4 linked regions of the Oryzias latipes genome follow. The protein of the gene in region 1 interacts with the protein of each later gene in a biochemical or structural test. Links are inferred from orthologs where the notes say so. Each region holds a gene or a part of one and is shown in the gene's direction. Other genes may lie near its edges.

Region 1 (4,119 bases):
GCAAATCCTTATTCCACAAGGTGTGTAAGACTGAAATCCAGGGATGGTCAATGGTTATTTATATTACATATAAATGACTCCTTAAAATAATTATAGAAAAAAAATCAAATAAAATAATTATAGAATAACAAAACCTCGAAAATTTAAATAATTCCAAATATTTAAATTTATTATTTTTATTATTGTCACAAATTACATTTGGGGGGGGGGGGGGGGTTCTATTTGTACCATGTCTAATTCATGTCTAAGCCCTCACATTTTGAAGAATGAGCTGTTTTTGCTTTTAAATGATACTCAATGCAAGTCTTCTGGTTTTTATGGTGTTGACATTTGGAACTTGATTCCGTAATAAATGTAATAATAATAAGAATAATAATTCTTATTATATTTATTATTATTAAAATAATAATTGTCAACACGGCCAAAAAGTTCTGGTTCTTTCCTAAATTGCAAATTCTCCTGGTGTTTTGTGGGTTTTTAATGAACTCTGGCTTCCTCAAATAGTCCATAAACAAGCCTCATGGACTAATTGGTGACTCTGAATTTAACTGGCAGACTATAATCTTTGCCTTTGTTCTGAAGAAGCTGGGAAAGACTTCAGAAACACCAGTGATTCTGCACATGTATACATTTTGATTTCTTAATTTCAATTTTTTCAAAATATTTGTTGTTTAAAAGCAAGGAGTGTGCGTATCTGTTTAAACGTTTATTTGCCACCTTGATGTTTCACTGTCAGTCTCGTCAGAATTGAATTGAAGCCATCATAGTTATTTTATGTGACTGTGTCTGGGTTGTGAAGCTGTGTTGTTAGATCTTATGTGTCTTTTCTATCTTATAGTTACTACAAATCGCTTTTCCCTTAAAAGTTAAAGTTATTTAGCGTTTATTAACAAAAGAGAATCAGACACATTTAAACAAATGGCTCAAAGGAACACAGCAAAAAATAATAATAAAAAATAAATAAATAATAGGAAAAACTAAATTACAAAGCATTACCATTTAAAACACAAACTAAAAAGGAGGGGAGCACAAAGGGCATCACCAATTATTCATATTGTATTTTCAAATAGGGTCCACGTTTTTAATGCATTTAAATTCTCATTTAAATTATCTAAATTTTAAATAGATTCGTTTTTCCCCCCATTGTTTATCCTATTTTATTTTATTTTTGCAAGAATTAGAAGAAGTGATCAGTTTCTTACCATTTGTCACCGATAGAGGGCGACATTTAAAATCCAACGCAGTTATAAACCAAATGTGATGACACCGGAAGAAGAAAGTTGCACCGCTGTTTGAAAGAACGGCAGCATATTTTTGCGTTGTTTTACACTGTTTTACATGGCTTAGTTCTAACGAACAGTACCTTTTAAAATATTGTCAAACACTTAAATTACACCCCAACTGTTGTTCCTTCGTTAAGCGAGCAGTGTTAAACAGAGCAGGTCGCTTCAGGCTCCGCCGGGTCGACATAGGCTAGCCTAGCTTGCGTGTCCCGTTTGCCGCTGAGCTCCGTGGGTTTCCCTGATCCGTCTCTCGCTGAGGATGAAGGTGAAGATCAAGCAGTGGAACGGAGTTGCGTCCTGGTTGTGGGTGGCCAACGATGAAAACTGCGGCATCTGCAGGATGCCCTTCAACGGCTGCTGTCCAGACTGTGAGTTAACGCGCCCGCGTGCAGATGTTTAATTCCTGTGAAGAAAGAAGTAGAAATCCCACCATCGGTTTAAAGAAATCTTTGTGATGTTTATGTTTCCTCGTAGCATAAAGGCAATTGAGCCGTAATGGCGTTTAAAACCGTATTTGATAGAAAACCTTGTAATTTCACATTTACTCTGTCTGTATTACCTAACAAACTACTTACGACTTAACAATTTTTTTTATATAACTTTATTGAACAAATGCAAGTATACAACATAAAGAACAATCAATGCAGTATACAACATACAATCAATATACAACACAAACAATGTTAAACAGCCAGGGGAGTCGATTCATTAAATATTTGCAGAGAGTTACAAATTTCAATAGTTCTGAGAGCTTTTTTGTTGGAGGAAAAGGATATTGATTTTATGTAAAAAGTTACATCTTTAATGAATTGTGGGAAGTATGGTGTTTTATTAGTAAATTTACATTTATGTATGTAGAATTTTGCCAGAAGAATTAATAAATTAATTATAAAAAATATCTTTTGTTTTTTGGGGGTCCTGAAAAAACAAAGTAATACATTTTCCCATTTCAAGGAGAAATCTTTGAAGACATGAATAATGATGAATCTACTGAACTCCTTCCAAAATCTCCGTGTGGACAAACAGTGCCAGAAAAGATGAATTACTGTTTCTGGGTGATCTCCACAGAAACTACAATCAGTATTAATATCTTTTTTAAATTTTATCATATAATGTTTGGCAGGGTAAATTTTATGGAGAATTTTAAAGGATACTTCTTTTACCTTATTTATTATTAAATACTTATGAGGGATCGTCCAGACTGCTTTCCAGTTGATATCTGGAACAAATTGATTCCAATAATTTAAAATATACGGGGGAGCGGTATAAATCTTTTGAAATAATCTGCGTATTTTTATATTAGTAGTACGCCCATATGAGAAGCATATTTTTCCTACCGGTGACTCATCCGCATTGGATATTGTATTTTGATTAGGTATCAAATTATCAGTGTTCTTAAATAACATTACTATTCCTGAGGGGATAGCCTTCTGCACCATTGAAAACTCTTGTAAAGTAATAGGTAAATTATACTGTGATAGGAATTCGTTATAGTTTAACAGCTGCCCCTCCTTATTAAATATTACGACTTAACTAATATTTGAGAATCAGAGATGTGACTACGCATGCGCGAACATTCTACTTAGTCTTGTGTTTGCCATTGTCACAAGTACAATGCAATGTAGCCGTTATGATACATAATTAAAGGGAAAATAACAGGACCACCTGCAGAAATGCTGTTTTCCTCTAGGTGGGTCGGTTAATAAATGAAGTTGATTAGTTAATTAAATTGCCTCTTCGCTACAGATGGGATGTATTTCATCCCAATCAAAGATGGATGGATGGATGTAATTAAAGTCCTGATTTTAACTAGATGACTGTGATTTGCTATTTTTGTGAATTATTGTCTCATCAATAAGAACTGGATTATGGCAACAATGCAAAAGAAATATATAAAAAGAAACAATTCATTAGGGGGGGGGATTGTATAAAATAAATGAGCTCACCTTTAGGCAGCAAATCAAATTGTGCATGACTTTAAATTATCATTATACTAAATGAATCAAATGTGATTTGTGTGTATTGTATGCATTACTGCGAAAAAGTCTCTTTGATTATGAATAATTAGACTAAAGCAGCCAGCATTGTCTTGTCATCACTGTTCATTTTATTCTTTATTTTCTAATCAATGTATTACTATATCTGAAATGGGTTTGATATATACATGTGTGTTGGTAGTTGTTTTTATTGTATTCAATCATTTAATCAATCAAATGTTCTCGTTTCATCCTGTTTAGGGACAGCAGATGTGAAATAGCATCATGGCTAAAATTGGACATAATTACATCTTTTAGTCTCTGGACATATGTTCAGTAATGTGTCCATATAAAATAAATACAATAAGATAAAATATATTTATCTTATTGTATTTATCTGCAGTAAATATCTGCAGACTTAAGAAAATCAGCTGTAAACATTCATTTATCAAAAGAGATTCCCATAAACAGATTCATGACACGTTTATTGTTGAGGATGAAGTCAGTCGGTCATGATGTGGAGATCAACACCATCACTTACAGGAGTTCGGATTCTTATTTATAAATTGGTGATGTAACATGCCCCATATAACTTTGACTTCGTGTCCATCAGCACACCCCAGCTCGAGTTAAGCCATGCTTCTCCTCATCTGCAGGTAAGGTTCCCGGAGACGACTGCCCGCTGGTGTGGGGTCAGTGCTCCCACTGCTTCCACATGCACTGCATCCTGAAGTGGCTGAACTCCCAGCAGGTGCAGCAGCAGTGTCCCATGTGTCGCCAGGAGTGGAAGTTCAAAGAGTGACGTGTCACGGTTCAGAACAACAACAAATAACTGTTCCCGACACAAAACCTGGGCGGAC
Region 2 (4,361 bases), on another chromosome or scaffold:
ACTTTAACTGCAGCTTTAAAGTATGTGATGTGAAATTTTAAAAAAATTGTATTTTAGTTGAAAGCCTAAGGGAGCTGCATTGTAGAGCAGTGGCCGTACAGCAAGATGGCCCTGGTTCAAATCCTGCCTGGGGTCAATTTAGGTGGGGTTTGTTCTCTTTATAAATGCATGGGTTTTCTCCAGGCACTCTGGCTTCCTCCCACAGTCTAAAAACATGCTTTGTAGGTCAATTGATTACCAGTATTTTAAATTGTCCCTTAGGTGTGCATGCGAGTGTATGGCTCTACAACAGAATGGGGACCTGTTCAGGGTGTACCCCACCTTTGCCCAATTGTTGCTGGATTGGCTCCAGCAGCCCTGTGACCACGAAAAGGATTCAGTTAGTACAGGAGATAAATGGATAAATGGATCAAAGCCTGAGGGATATGGCTCTAAAATAGCATAATGTAGTCCATGTTAACAGGTAACTGATTGGTCGTTGGCCATATTTCTCTCTACAATACAAGGAAATGATTTGCAGATGAACAATCATATATTTTGTGCGCAGAAACAGCTGCTTCTCAGAGAAAAGCTGTCGCCTAAATGAAGCTGTTACTGAAGCATCTTTCAAATGTCATGTTCAGTTCATGTATCAGTAATGAACTTATTTTCCCAGTTTGGCACCTTCTGTTCTGGTGATCTTAATTATGTTTTGATCACTACGCTTTCTTTTTTTTACTTATGGTGAATTTCTCCTTAGATACAATTGTGCTCATCATGGACGGTTCTGCCATCAGCTGCACGTGGTGGCTACAGATGAAGATGGAGAATAGAGCTGCAGACATGCTGAGGAGGAGGAACGAGGCTTATCCTAGTCCGACTAATGGAGTTACACGAGTGAATTTATGTTTTAGTAATATTAGAAAATGTTCACATCTTTATCATATGTTCATGAGGTTTTTACTGAGTAAAAAGCAAATAATTTATTGGACGAGAGTGCTAAAGCATTCTAGTTTTAAATGTGAATCTCAAATTGGCTCACAGCAGTGTACAGATCTGAGAACAAAATTGGATTCTGTCAGCGGACATAAGTTCTGAATTAGGCCTAAGGGAAGGAAATTTAATATTTTTCATATAACAATATCTGATTTTAACTGGTTTTTGAAAGGAAATAACCGACTAATGCAAAATTCCTTCAGTCATATGACTTAGTATTAAAAGGAACTAATTAGTTTCATGGAAAATGTATAACTAAGGAAATTGGGCAACATTTCTAGTTCTTCCTGAATAAAGACACAAAATCATTGAAAATATATAAATTTGGATTGTTGCACAAGATTAGACATTTCAAATCAAAACGTGTTTTGTTTTTGTTTGTTTGTTTAAATTCCCATTTCAAAACTCATTTTCGTTTCGTTTGAAATTCTCTCTTCTCTTGACGTAAACACTAAACGTCGTACTCAGGGTGTTAATTTCCGGTATATTTCGAACCAATTACAACACGCCTCCTAAAGCATACTCACTCGTGATTGGTTGGCATTTTTCTGTTTGCTTTTGAAAGGCGGACACCGATTGGCTGATGCAATTTAAAAACTCGGGGCGGGTTAGGCTTCCATTAACAGATAGTGAGCGATATCAAAGCTGTTCGGATCTACTCAAATTGGATCTACAGTAAGCCTCGCAGGTAAACAGAACTTCTAGATGTATGTGGAATGTTTATTATTTCCGGGTAATAGTTTTCACGAGTGTAGTCGGTGTACACGGGCTGCAGGGATCGGTGTCACGGCGACAGAAACACTAGGAAAGCCACAGAAACGAGCTGTCCGCGCGGCTGAGAGGCCTCCGTGTTCGCAGCTGCGTTAAATGACCACCTCTGCGCCAACAGCCAAAGCAGAAGCGCAATCCGTTTATGCTGAAGCTTCACGTTCTTCCTCAGAGACACTATGGACCTTATGTCAGCATCTGAAGAACCTCCTCTTCAGCCTGAGCTCCTTTTGAAGAAGCTCCTATTGCCTCTTCTAAAAATAGCCATATTCATCCATAATAGTTGTTTTGGTTCGATGATCAGTCTCCATCAGAGCTCTCATGATGATGGTATCACCATCAGACCAGAAGGTTCCTCATCCTGTTTGTGTCATTGTGTGTGAAGTGGACTGACCTGTTGGTACATGTGTCCAGGAGAGCCCATCATTGGCACACATGGCCTCCCAGAACATGGACCCTGCAGCAGCTGGAGCCTCTGCAGCAGCTGCTCTGAAGGGCAACGAGAGCGAGAACAACATGACCAAAGGCTCGGTGTCCAAGCGGTGAGTGTCAACCGTCATCTGAACGTGAAAATAAACCAGACTAACAAGATCAAGAATGAGCCTGGACTTGAAAAGTTGTTTCTGTCTAAATGGAGATCCAGCAGCTGATGCAATCACAGATCAGTCAGCTTTGGTTTTCCCTGAATGATTCAGTCAAATGCTGATTAATTTAGCGGTTACTCTTTTGCATTGGCCTCTCAGTTTGGTGGTTTTAGTGCTGGTCAAGTTGAAGGTCCACAACGCCACATTTCCTGGCCCACATCAGAGCAGTCCGCTTATCGGCTGTACTATTTCTGATTTCTGAGGAGCTCTGCTTCTGTTGTGTGTTTGCAGGTTGCAGCAGGAGCTGATGACTCTCATGGTGAGTTCAACTTTTTATTTATAAATAGACTTTTATCACTGTTGATTTCAATTTTTTTTAAATCCTATTGTCTGAAATAATAAAAGGATATGCAAAGCTGTTAATTTCAGGGATAGATATTTTTTTTTACACAGATTGATGTTTTTCTTAGAATTTATGGCAAAGAAAACCCCTCTATACATTCACACATTTTGGGACTAATTTAGGAGTTTTGATTAATTATTTAAATAACAAAACAAACATATTTTGATGCATTGCACTCTGTGGCCCTCCCTTTCTGTAGCTGGGTAGCTCAATTTGGTTCGGTTCAGAATTTCATAGGGCCCGTTTTGATCTGTTTTCTGTATTTTTTTTCGGTACAAAAAAGGCAGAAAAAAATTTCTTGCAAAATGCATTTATTGGTTTTATATAACAATAATAAAACTAACCTATGTAGGTGATATGCTACATAAAATAATACAACTATTAACTGCCACTTCGTGTAACCATAAAATGCAAACAAAAATAAACAAACCGAAACGGTAAAAAAGTGGTCCAGACTGAAATTACCGAAACGGTTCAGTCCAACTACGTCTACCGTTACACCCTTACTAGTTTGGCAGTGTGTCTTATCCATAATGGAAACAAAAGTGATGATGAAGCCTTCTGAGACTATTTAAAGGGATAAAATAAATTCATAATCTAAAGCATTCACAAAGAACAATACTTGAAGTCCAACCGAGGCACTGAATCAGTTTGAATCCCTTTACGGTAACTAAAGTCCAGGAAAACGGCAGGGTGAGCGCTCATTTTTTGCAGCTTTTAGTGTAACTTTTGCTCCTTTGCTGCAGATGTCGGGGGATAAAGGCATTTCAGCGTTTCCAGAGTCGGATAACCTCTTCAAATGGGTTGGAACCATTGATGGAGCGCAGGGGACGGTACGTATGGGCGCATACGCTCGTGCCACTGGCTGTCTGTATTCCTCAACTACTAAAAAAAACTGCATAGTGTGGCTGTGGCACCATGTAGTGCCCTGGACCCGTAAAAGAAATTTGGTCTCTATACTCACTTTCTTTTTTTTTTAATGGCAAATATGAAATCACACATTTCCCGAAGTAAAAATGTAATAAATATGGACATTTTACAAAGACTATAAGACTATTAACGACAAGTTTATTTAAAACATTACTTCAAATACATGAAAAATTGTTCAAACACAATACATTGTGGTCTATATTCGCTAGTCTAGTGAGCATTGATGCACAGTGGTTTTTCTTAGACTTATGAGAAATTTTTCGAGCACCAGATTTAAGAATTGTAGAATCGCACAGCTCTACAGAATGGGGATGGCGCTATATAGTCCATCGTGTAGTGAATAGTGAAGCAATCCAGACACAACTGTTGGTGAGGAGAGAGGGGTGCTGCACAATTTGATTGTCACCACATTTGAGGTGACGTGAGGAGATGAGAGCTGCACATTATGCATGAATGTGTGATCCGGTTCTCCTGTCAGGTGTACGAGGGCCTCCGGTACCGGCTGTCCTTCGACTTTCCTGCAGGCTACCCCTACCAGGCTCCTCGTGTGAGATTTGTCACGCCTTGTTTCCACCCCAACGTGGACGATCAGGGTTTCATCTGTCTGGACATCCTGAAAGACAAGTGGTCGGCCTTGTACGATGTGCGCTCCATTCTGCTGTCCATACAGAGCCTGCTTGGAGGTAATCCATGGAGCTGTC
Region 3 (4,205 bases), on another chromosome or scaffold:
TAAAGGGGCTGAATTGGGGTCAAATAGCTGAAGGTGTGAAGGAAATGAGAGACTAAACACTTTATAAATCGCAGGCATCTTCTCTCAACATAATCTGCTTCATTCATTGGAGCCACAAAGGGATATAAAACTGGACAACCTTGCTATTCTAAGCACTCCCTCTGGACTAAGTGGTTTCCTTTCTCCCTTAAAAAAAAGAGCAGCACACTTTGTCCTAGCATAGCTTTAAAACCGCTTGTTTATATGCATTACTACTAAGTAATAGTAACCAAGAAATATTGTTTACTTTTAGACAACGCCCGTTGAAAGTTAACGGGATTTACATGACAGAACAGAACGGAAATGAACACTGAAGCTGAGCTGAAATGGGGGCGTTCAGAATGAATGGCCTACGGGGGGATTTGTATTGATTAAACCTTTTAAATATACGACATTTTTGTTACGACGGCAATGAAAAACTAATAATTCTACCAGGCGCAGTTTCGTTAATGAGATAATTAAGCTAGCTGTAACCAGCATGGAGATAAAGGCGTTGTTCTCGATTAAGAATACAATACAAAAGCTAAGACCAGGTACTCCTATCTACAATTTTACAAAGGCACAGCTCTAAATGAATATCCAAAGCATATTTGGGGTGTTTTGGTCAATACAGTGACATTACACTGGTTTAGCTATGATGCCGCGAATTTCTGAAAGGCACAAAAAATGCGGGGAGTTCCTTATTAACACCTAATTCCATCTAACATATCCTTGACGCACATTAAACGTAAAACTAATTCATATTTAGGCTGATGGATGCGTTTAAAAGTAAAACAGAAGACTTACAGCTTGCCTTGCTATCTCGGTCGAAGCCATGATGCTTTCTGTTAGCTCTCCCTCAACTGTCCTCTTTCAGCAGCCCTGCTGAACAGTTAACGTTCCTCAGAAAGATGGCCTGTTTGGAATGTACCATTGAATCTACGGAGTTAATCATGTAGAGAACACGTAGCTTTGCTTTTGCGTCTTGATTACAACAATAGGTACTAGGGAAAAAAAGACATATAACTGCAGTTTATCTTTAAGACGGATTTATTTATAGAAAAATAAACACATAAGATAAAGAAAGATGGTGCAGACATGGTTTCGTCCGATAGAACGCTAGTAAATGGAAGTCAGCAAGCAATAAAAAAATAAAATAAAAGGGGAATAATTAGCATGAATAATTATCCAGTTTATGAATATGGGCAATTTTTGTTAGTTTGGTATTGACTAAATGATTATTTTTTTTCGATAATATGCCCAATTCTGTTCATACAACGCTTTGAAATGAGACACGGGTGAAATTAATTCATGCCAGTCACGTGGGGTACAACGACCAATCATAATCACTGCCCAACGACAGTCACGAGGGCTACAACGACCAATGGAATGAAGTGAACGGATTTAAAAACAAAGGTGCGGAAGCTGTTGTAGCTAGATAAAAAACAAAAAGCAGGATAAAGACGATAAAGCCTTCGGATTGAGACCAAGAACTATTGTTCTTTGAGGTTACTAACACTAAGGTAAATAGACGTGAAAGTAACCGTTGGTTTATCATTCCAAGATTTTACGTAAATGGGCAATTTTTTTTAAACCGTACGTTGCACGACAAACTGCTAACGATAATTTTTAAACCGTACGTAACGTTGCATGACAAACAAAGTTAACCGCTAACAATAATGTAGCATTGGACAAATCTCTGCTGTTTACATTATTGTCAGTAAATGTAAATAAATATTTGTTGTCTGAACTAAATTATTCTGAACTTAATCATTTTCCAAATGGGAAATGTATCCATTATTTTGTAAATAATTGCATAGTTGTTAGATGAAAACAAAATGTCTACTTTAGCTTAGTTTAGTTTTGGGCCTGACAATACATAATCTTCTTCTTAATGCTAAACATCAGCACCAATTAGCAGAAAGCCTTTTTGATGTAAAAAAAAAATAAATAAATCCGTAATTGAACCTCAAAATGCCTGAATTGTGGGGAAACAAAATGAGAATAGCCAACTCTGTTAGTCTACTTATGAATTTCAAAGTGCACCTTTTTTTTCCCCCTTTTCTTTCAATAAATTAAGTTATATTTTTATGAATTTGTGTATATAAAACCCCATTTAAAGTAATTGAAAGTTTTTTGAAACCAAATGTTTTTCTTTTTTTACCTTTTAGCCAAGATGGCAAATGTCATCTTCACCGAACAGGAGAATGTTTGCCTCCGTCCCTCTTCCCTGAAAATGCGTCAGAGGCTTCTGTCTGCTCCAGGTATTAAAAACATGTTCAACTGTTTCAGATTATCTTTGTGGAACTCTGCATGATCCTCCTTTTTATTCTCGCTCTCTATAACCAGAAAAACAGTTGAAGTCTCCAATGTTGGTCAAAAATACCCCTGTCCATTCAGCGCGTAAGGCTTTTGGGGTGGTGAACAAAAAGATCTTAACCCCTTCTTTGAGTACACAAGAGAAAAAAGTTTTAAAACCACAGGTAAAAATAAACACTAATGACAAATGGATTTATTTCAGCAAAAGGCTATTCTGTTGTTTCTGTGTGTCCATATTGCCCTTCTTCTCAATAGGAAGTCAAGGTCGAGCATCCTTCTGAAGCCAAAGGGGAGGAATACCCAAAAATGGAAAATTTTATTCCTTACAACCCTCTAGGTAATGTCATGTTTGTTTGGTTTGCAGGCAAATTATGCTTTTAAGAGGTTTTTTTTTTTTTTTTTTAAACCAAGATGTTTAGTAGTTCCACATTTCCGCTGGTCGTGCTGCAGCTGTATGCCATCTGAAAGTCTTTACTGCTAATGTCACATCATTTCATAGCCACCATGTTTACAATATCCACTCTTATCACTGAGCATAATCAACGGGCACAGCGTCTTTCTGCTCATGAGTGGTGGTTGTTCAAGTAAAAGCAACAAAATGTAATGATGTGAAAGAATTGGAAGTGGCTCAGTGGCCTTGTGGTAGTGTCCACTGTGTTAAACGGCTCCCATGTGTGGCTGTGTCTTTTCTGACTTCTTTGGTTTTAAAGGGGCTTATTCACAGTCTGGGAAATTTTTCACCCATTCCTGAGTTTCTTCATATTTTCAGAGTTTGAGAAGTACAGCATACCCGAGGACTTCATTCCTTTCAGTGGCCTGGCTCTACCCGGATTGGCCTGTTTTACCTCGCCTCTTCTTGAGGAAGACCTGGAAAAGATTCAGCCTCTCCCAGACCCTTCACCTGCAAAAGGGTGCAGATTTCCAGGTATGGTTCTCCTTTATACGTCTGATAAATCTCCTATTTTCAGGAGCTTACAGAGGAAATCACTCTGTTGCAACAAAGGGAAATGCAACAGAACGCCACATGGTGCTTTAAATAAGTAATAAATACTAGGAAAAAGTAATCGTGTCATGTTTTTCAAAATTAGACAGAAAATATTTTAACTTTGAGGTTTGCTTTACTGTTAAAACAAAAAACTTCAAACCATTTGTACACAGATCTAGTAACTTTGGAGTCAACATGTTCGTTTTTTTTCTCTTTTCTTTTGGGGATACAAAATAAACTAGTTTGAATTTTCATTTACTCAGCTCTGTTGCAAAGAACCTGTTTGGCTCCTCAGTGCCCTTGGGGAAACACAGACTGGATTCTTGTCGAATGATCCCAAACTGTAACGTAATAGGAAAGCTTTCCCCCTAAACTACAATGCTGTTCCCTGTTACCTGTTAATCCTTTTAGTGTTGAACAGTTCAAACTATGATCAGACCTGTAGGTTACTCATTAACTGAATCATGTGACTTCCAACAAATGCCACTTGTTATGGCTGTTATTGTTGGAAAGTGTGCCTGTTGGCAGGAAAGCCTTCATAAACTCCTCTTCATTTTCCTTTTTAGATCACAGCTTGGAGCTGGATGCCTTCCTACAAACCCTTGAAGAGCTGACTGTTGAATTCCCCCCAGAACCGCTTACTGACTGCTGATGCCTGTTTGTTAAATGGCTGTTTTTATTATTTGTGTTGAAATAAAGTTTTCTTGGCAACATCTGTGGTCCAGAGTGTGTGTGTGTGTGTGATGGAATGGCTGCAAAAGTGTCAGGGGAGTGAACCTGAACTACTTCCTGCTTTAAACTCCAGCTGTGGTCACGTGTTGGGAGTCTTCTGAAGAGGATCTGCTTCATTAGAATGAACTTTTTCAGTTCCCCTTTCAGAGGA
Region 4 (4,100 bases), on another chromosome or scaffold:
TAGTCTGATATTGTGTCAGATGTTGCTATTCTGAACCTTTTACAAATCTTTTAATGTATGTTATGTGTTGAATTTAGAACTGAAGTTGTTCTTTGTCAAAATTGTTGAATGTTAGTGTATCATGTTCTGATTTTTTTTAAAGTTATGTCTGTTGTCTCATTTACAGTGATTTCTGTTGAGCTTTGTAGAATGGTAATAAAAAGACCTTCTTATCCTCTCCTACCTTCCTTTTGAGATTAAAAAAAAACCCTGTTTTATCTACATTGTCTCTATCAATGTTGTGTCCAAATTGGTTACCATTCCCAGTTATATGTTTGATTTTTGCACAAGAGGTCCTGAGGACACTATTGGGTTATCTGTTTGTGTGCTATTTTGCATTTGGCGCTGTTTCTTCCTTCATAAATGCACAGGAAACTTTGAGATGTACAAAGACCTGCATAACATTTTTTAAAGATTTCTCACAGAACATAAGCCAGTTTTGAGTACAATGTTTCAAAATCAAATTGTGCAAAAACAAGCATTAGATCACAGCAATGCTAAAATAGCGTTCTATTGTCTGATAGTTGCGGGGTTTGTTTTTATGTTCATAGATATTTAGGACACACCACTAAATTATTGGTATTTGTATGATGGACAGTCATTTAATATTATTATTGGCCTACAATTTTTTTTGTTAGTCCAAAATCCTGCTCCAAAACCAGGAAAGCTGTCCTCAGGTTGAGGCACCATGTTTATTGAATGCCCTTATCCTGTCAGTGTCCCTGATTGACTCTGTTGTGTCCTTTTATAAAAAAGCTAACATGCATTTGTTTAGGAAAGGTTAAAAGTAATGAATGTGAGTGTATGTGGTTGTGTGGCTCAGACAGTCCAGGGTGTACCACACCTGGGGGTAGTTAGAATAGACTCCAACAACCGCCACAGGGAGTGTTTAGAAAATGCATAAAAAGGTGCTTCAGAAATACAGCTCACTTATTTGCTTAAACAATTATATTAAAATATAATTAGGAATATTTGTTTTAAATGTATTTTTCACGTTATAAAAATGCTCACTGCTATTGATTGAATTATATTAGCTAATCTAATATACCCGATATTCTTGATTGTGGTTTATTTCCTGTCAGTATCGATCGGTAGTTTGAGTTTTTCAAACGGGCCTATGGCTCACCAGCATCAGCTCTCTTTACACTCTGATTGGCTTATATATTTTTTCTATCATGACGTAATAGAAAATCTAGATTGTGATTGGTTAGGAACTTCATACGCGTCAACTTGCTAAGACGGCTATTGGTTAATATCAGCAGGTTAAATCGAGGATCGTATTTTTGTTCCTGTGTCAACGTTAAAGCGAAAAGGACAGTAATCAGGGTTTTTTTTGTGATTAAGTTTCTACAAAATACTTTTTCTCAAATAGTAGCAGAAAAAGCTTCGTTTTATCCCATTCCAGTAAACAACCATTCACCAAAAAGATCTCATTTTCGAAGATGGTAAGACAGATGACCGAGCGTATTGCTAACAGCTAAGGGGAGTTTTTGCTAGCTTGCTCCGGTGTTAGATCGTCAAAAACACCCTGGTTGTGGTTGATTTTCTTTCTTTTTTAAAAGTTGTTTTTTATTCGCGGAACCAAAACATGATTTTAAAAATAGTACGGAGTACTTTTAGCGTAATGATCGCGTTTTTACAGCCTTTAATCAACGCTAAGTTCGAGGCATTACCTCTTGCTAACCGTTAACGTAAAGTTATCTCCTTATTTCTGTATAATAATTAGTAAGAGTTGCAATTTTATATTTTATCAGTCATGATACGATCGTACCTTGATTTAATGTGCCTTTATATTACCTACAGTAAAACTTTTTTTCTTCTTTTCTTTAAGCTTGGCGACAAAAACTTTGAAACTCAATGTTGTATTTTTGTTCTAGCAGCATAGCATTCGTTTGAATATCCTCCTGACCCCCAGCAATGCAAATTTCTAACTGAAAATCTAGCATAAATGGCACAGTAGCATCCAGCTGTATTAAATCAACATAAATAAATGATAACTTTTATATAATGCAGGATTTTTTTTATCAATTGAACGTGCAGTTTAAATAGAAGTGCATTTTTATTGCTGCTTCTTAGGTGTTGCAGATGTGACATCCTTAAGTACATTCTCATGTGGTCAGCAATTTATATTTTCCGACAATGGCTTGCTTGGATTTATCTTTTCTAAATTATCTCATTTTATTATCTTTATATTTTATTGAAGAATCAGACTAAACGAGATTGATGAAAATTCTTTGTATCTTGTTTAATTTTAAGTTATATTTTTAGTGATTTCTTTGTATTTTTCTCTCGTTATCAAATCGGTTTCATTTCCAAAGCTTTTTACACATTTAAATGCCCATTTATGTGCCCTGTTCTGTTTTCCCATAGAACTCAAATGTTGAGAATTTGCCCCCTCATGTTCTGCGCTTGGTCTACAAAGAGGTATCAGCTTTAGCAGCAGATCCACCTGAAGGTATAAAGATTTATCCTAGTGAGGAAGACATAACTGAACTCCACACATCCATTGAAGGACCAGGTAAGGATTTTAGTGAGGCTCCATGGAAAGCTTAAACTAGATTTGCCATTTTTAGGCAGTATTTCCTAAAATAGGAAAGGACTACAGCATTTTACGTTATTAAAAATGTCATGTCTTGTACTGCACATTCTGCATTTAATTATAGATTTCATTTTGAAATGAGCCTTTTGCCATCTTTTTCTTGGACTTGTGGATAGATATAGCTCATTTCTGAAGGAAGAACTGATTTAAATTGGACGGATTGCATTGTTGATGCATCTATTTTTATCAGGGGCTTTTAAGCTTATGTTGAATGGAAATTCTTAAAAAGTGATAACGATGCAAGTCGTAGGAGTTTCAAAAATTCAACATTCCAAATAAAGATTGTAATCGTTTAAACAAAGAGCTATAACTCACAGCTTTTTTGAACAATTTTTAAAAATTGTTGCTATTGTTAAAGGTTTATCCCCATAATATTGGCATGCAGTTCAGTTCATGCATTAGAAGAAATATATAATTCAAAATCCGTTTTTAAATGCCAAACAGTTTAGCGCATGATTGCCATCTTGAGGCTGAGGCTACACATTACTTCGTGAAGGTAACCACAAATAATAACTATAAAATCCAAAGTTGTATGAACCCTTTGGGTTATTCTTGTTATTTTTTTATTTAAAAGAGCTGTGTGCTATTGTAAGAGTTCAGCTATCCAAAGTAAACCGTGAAGACAGTGAGGCAAGGATGTTTGTGAATTGTTTGTATTTTGTGAGAGAGGAAGTGCGTCTTAATATGCTGGGCATATTTTAAGCATAATCCAGCTTCAAAACGTAACCATTTAGCTTTTTTATTTTGTTCTCCTTTAGAGCTGAGCAGACGTGGATGAAGAACGGTTCCAGTTCTTTGGCATGTTTAGCCGTGCTCAATTGCAAAAATAGTGCAGATTTATCAAGGACTGATGTGCAAAAGCCTGTCATTTTAAAGAATTTTGATGTTTAGCACGTCTATGATTTCAAAGTTAGAGATTTGATTCAGCTTGAAAAAAATTCAGTCTGTGTATCCGCAGTTAAGACATACTGTTCATGCTATGAATTCTTTATACTTTGACAGAGGGAACTCCATTTGCTGGTGGCATTTTCCGAATGCGTCTGGTCCTCGGGAAGGACTTCCCTGCTGTTCCACCCAAGGGGTATTTCTTGACCAAGATTTTTCATCCCAACGTCGGCCACAAAGGAGAAATCTGTGTGAATGTGCTGAAGAGGGACTGGAAGGCAGAGCTCGGGCTCAGACACATCTTACTTGTAAGAGTTCCACCATCGGCTATCTTTCCCCTGAGTGTGATGTATGTGGTCCGTCAACGATTTTCTCTTTGTGACGGCAGACCATCAAGTGTCTTCTAATCCATCCAAACCCGGAGTCGGCTCTGAACGAGGAGGCCGGGCGCTTGTTGTTGGAGGACTATGCAGAGTACGAGTCCCGAGCCCGCCTCCTCACAGAAATCCACGCTATGGGCGGTACGTCGGGGGCACCTCAGGATCCGAATGACGGCCCTCAGCCAAAAAAGCACGCG

What was found.
Region 2: the proteins of anapc11 (region 1) and ube2c form a complex in vitro, tested with the Homo sapiens proteins (66 studies listed by BioGRID). The link is inferred for Oryzias latipes from reciprocal best matches to the Homo sapiens genes ANAPC11 and UBE2C.
Region 3: of the proteins of anapc11 (region 1) and pttg1, one has a biochemical effect on the other in vitro, tested with the Homo sapiens proteins (3 studies listed by BioGRID). The link is inferred for Oryzias latipes from reciprocal best matches to the Homo sapiens genes ANAPC11 and PTTG1.
Region 4: the proteins of anapc11 (region 1) and ube2s form a complex in vitro, tested with the Homo sapiens proteins (31 studies listed by BioGRID). The link is inferred for Oryzias latipes from reciprocal best matches to the Homo sapiens genes ANAPC11 and UBE2S.

The regions. Positions count from the first base shown.
Region 1 is NC_019859.2:4,486,131-4,490,249, forward strand, and holds the start of anapc11 (anaphase-promoting complex subunit 11), read left to right. Parts: upstream 1-1,277; 5' UTR 1,278-1,542; coding exon 1,543-1,651; intron 1,652-3,915; coding exon 3,916-4,061; 3' UTR 4,062-4,119. UniProt on the Homo sapiens protein: Together with the cullin protein ANAPC2, constitutes the catalytic component of the anaphase promoting complex/cyclosome (APC/C), a cell cycle-regulated E3 ubiquitin ligase that controls progression through mitosis and the G1 phase of the cell cycle.
Region 2 is NC_019863.2:18,098,143-18,102,503, forward strand, and holds the start of ube2c (ubiquitin-conjugating enzyme E2 C), read left to right. Parts: upstream 1-1,556; 5' UTR 1,557-1,663; intron 1,664-2,157; 5' UTR 2,158-2,178; coding exon 2,179-2,285; intron 2,286-2,618; coding exon 2,619-2,646; intron 2,647-3,476; coding exon 3,477-3,563; intron 3,564-4,138; coding exon 4,139-4,343; intron 4,344-4,361. UniProt on the Homo sapiens protein: Accepts ubiquitin from the E1 complex and catalyzes its covalent attachment to other proteins. In vitro catalyzes 'Lys-11'- and 'Lys-48'-linked polyubiquitination.
Region 3 is NC_019868.2:9,721,804-9,726,008, forward strand, and holds pttg1 (securin), read left to right. Parts: upstream 1-1,371; 5' UTR 1,372-1,434; exon of another isoform or gene 1,435-1,541; intron 1,542-2,189; 5' UTR 2,190-2,194; coding exon 2,195-2,282; intron 2,283-2,367; coding exon 2,368-2,501; intron 2,502-2,592; coding exon 2,593-2,674; intron 2,675-3,106; coding exon 3,107-3,262; intron 3,263-3,888; coding exon 3,889-3,974; 3' UTR 3,975-4,035; downstream 4,036-4,205. Other genes in the region: sept6 (septin-6), read right to left, coding at 826-855. UniProt on the Homo sapiens protein: Regulatory protein, which plays a central role in chromosome stability, in the p53/TP53 pathway, and DNA repair. Probably acts by blocking the action of key proteins.
Region 4 is NC_019874.2:19,503,704-19,507,803, forward strand, and holds the start of ube2s (ubiquitin-conjugating enzyme E2 S), read left to right. Parts: upstream 1-1,282; 5' UTR 1,283-1,481; coding exon 1,482-1,484; intron 1,485-2,409; coding exon 2,410-2,557; intron 2,558-3,640; coding exon 3,641-3,831; intron 3,832-3,911; coding exon 3,912-4,100. UniProt on the Homo sapiens protein: Accepts ubiquitin from the E1 complex and catalyzes its covalent attachment to other proteins. Catalyzes 'Lys-11'-linked polyubiquitination.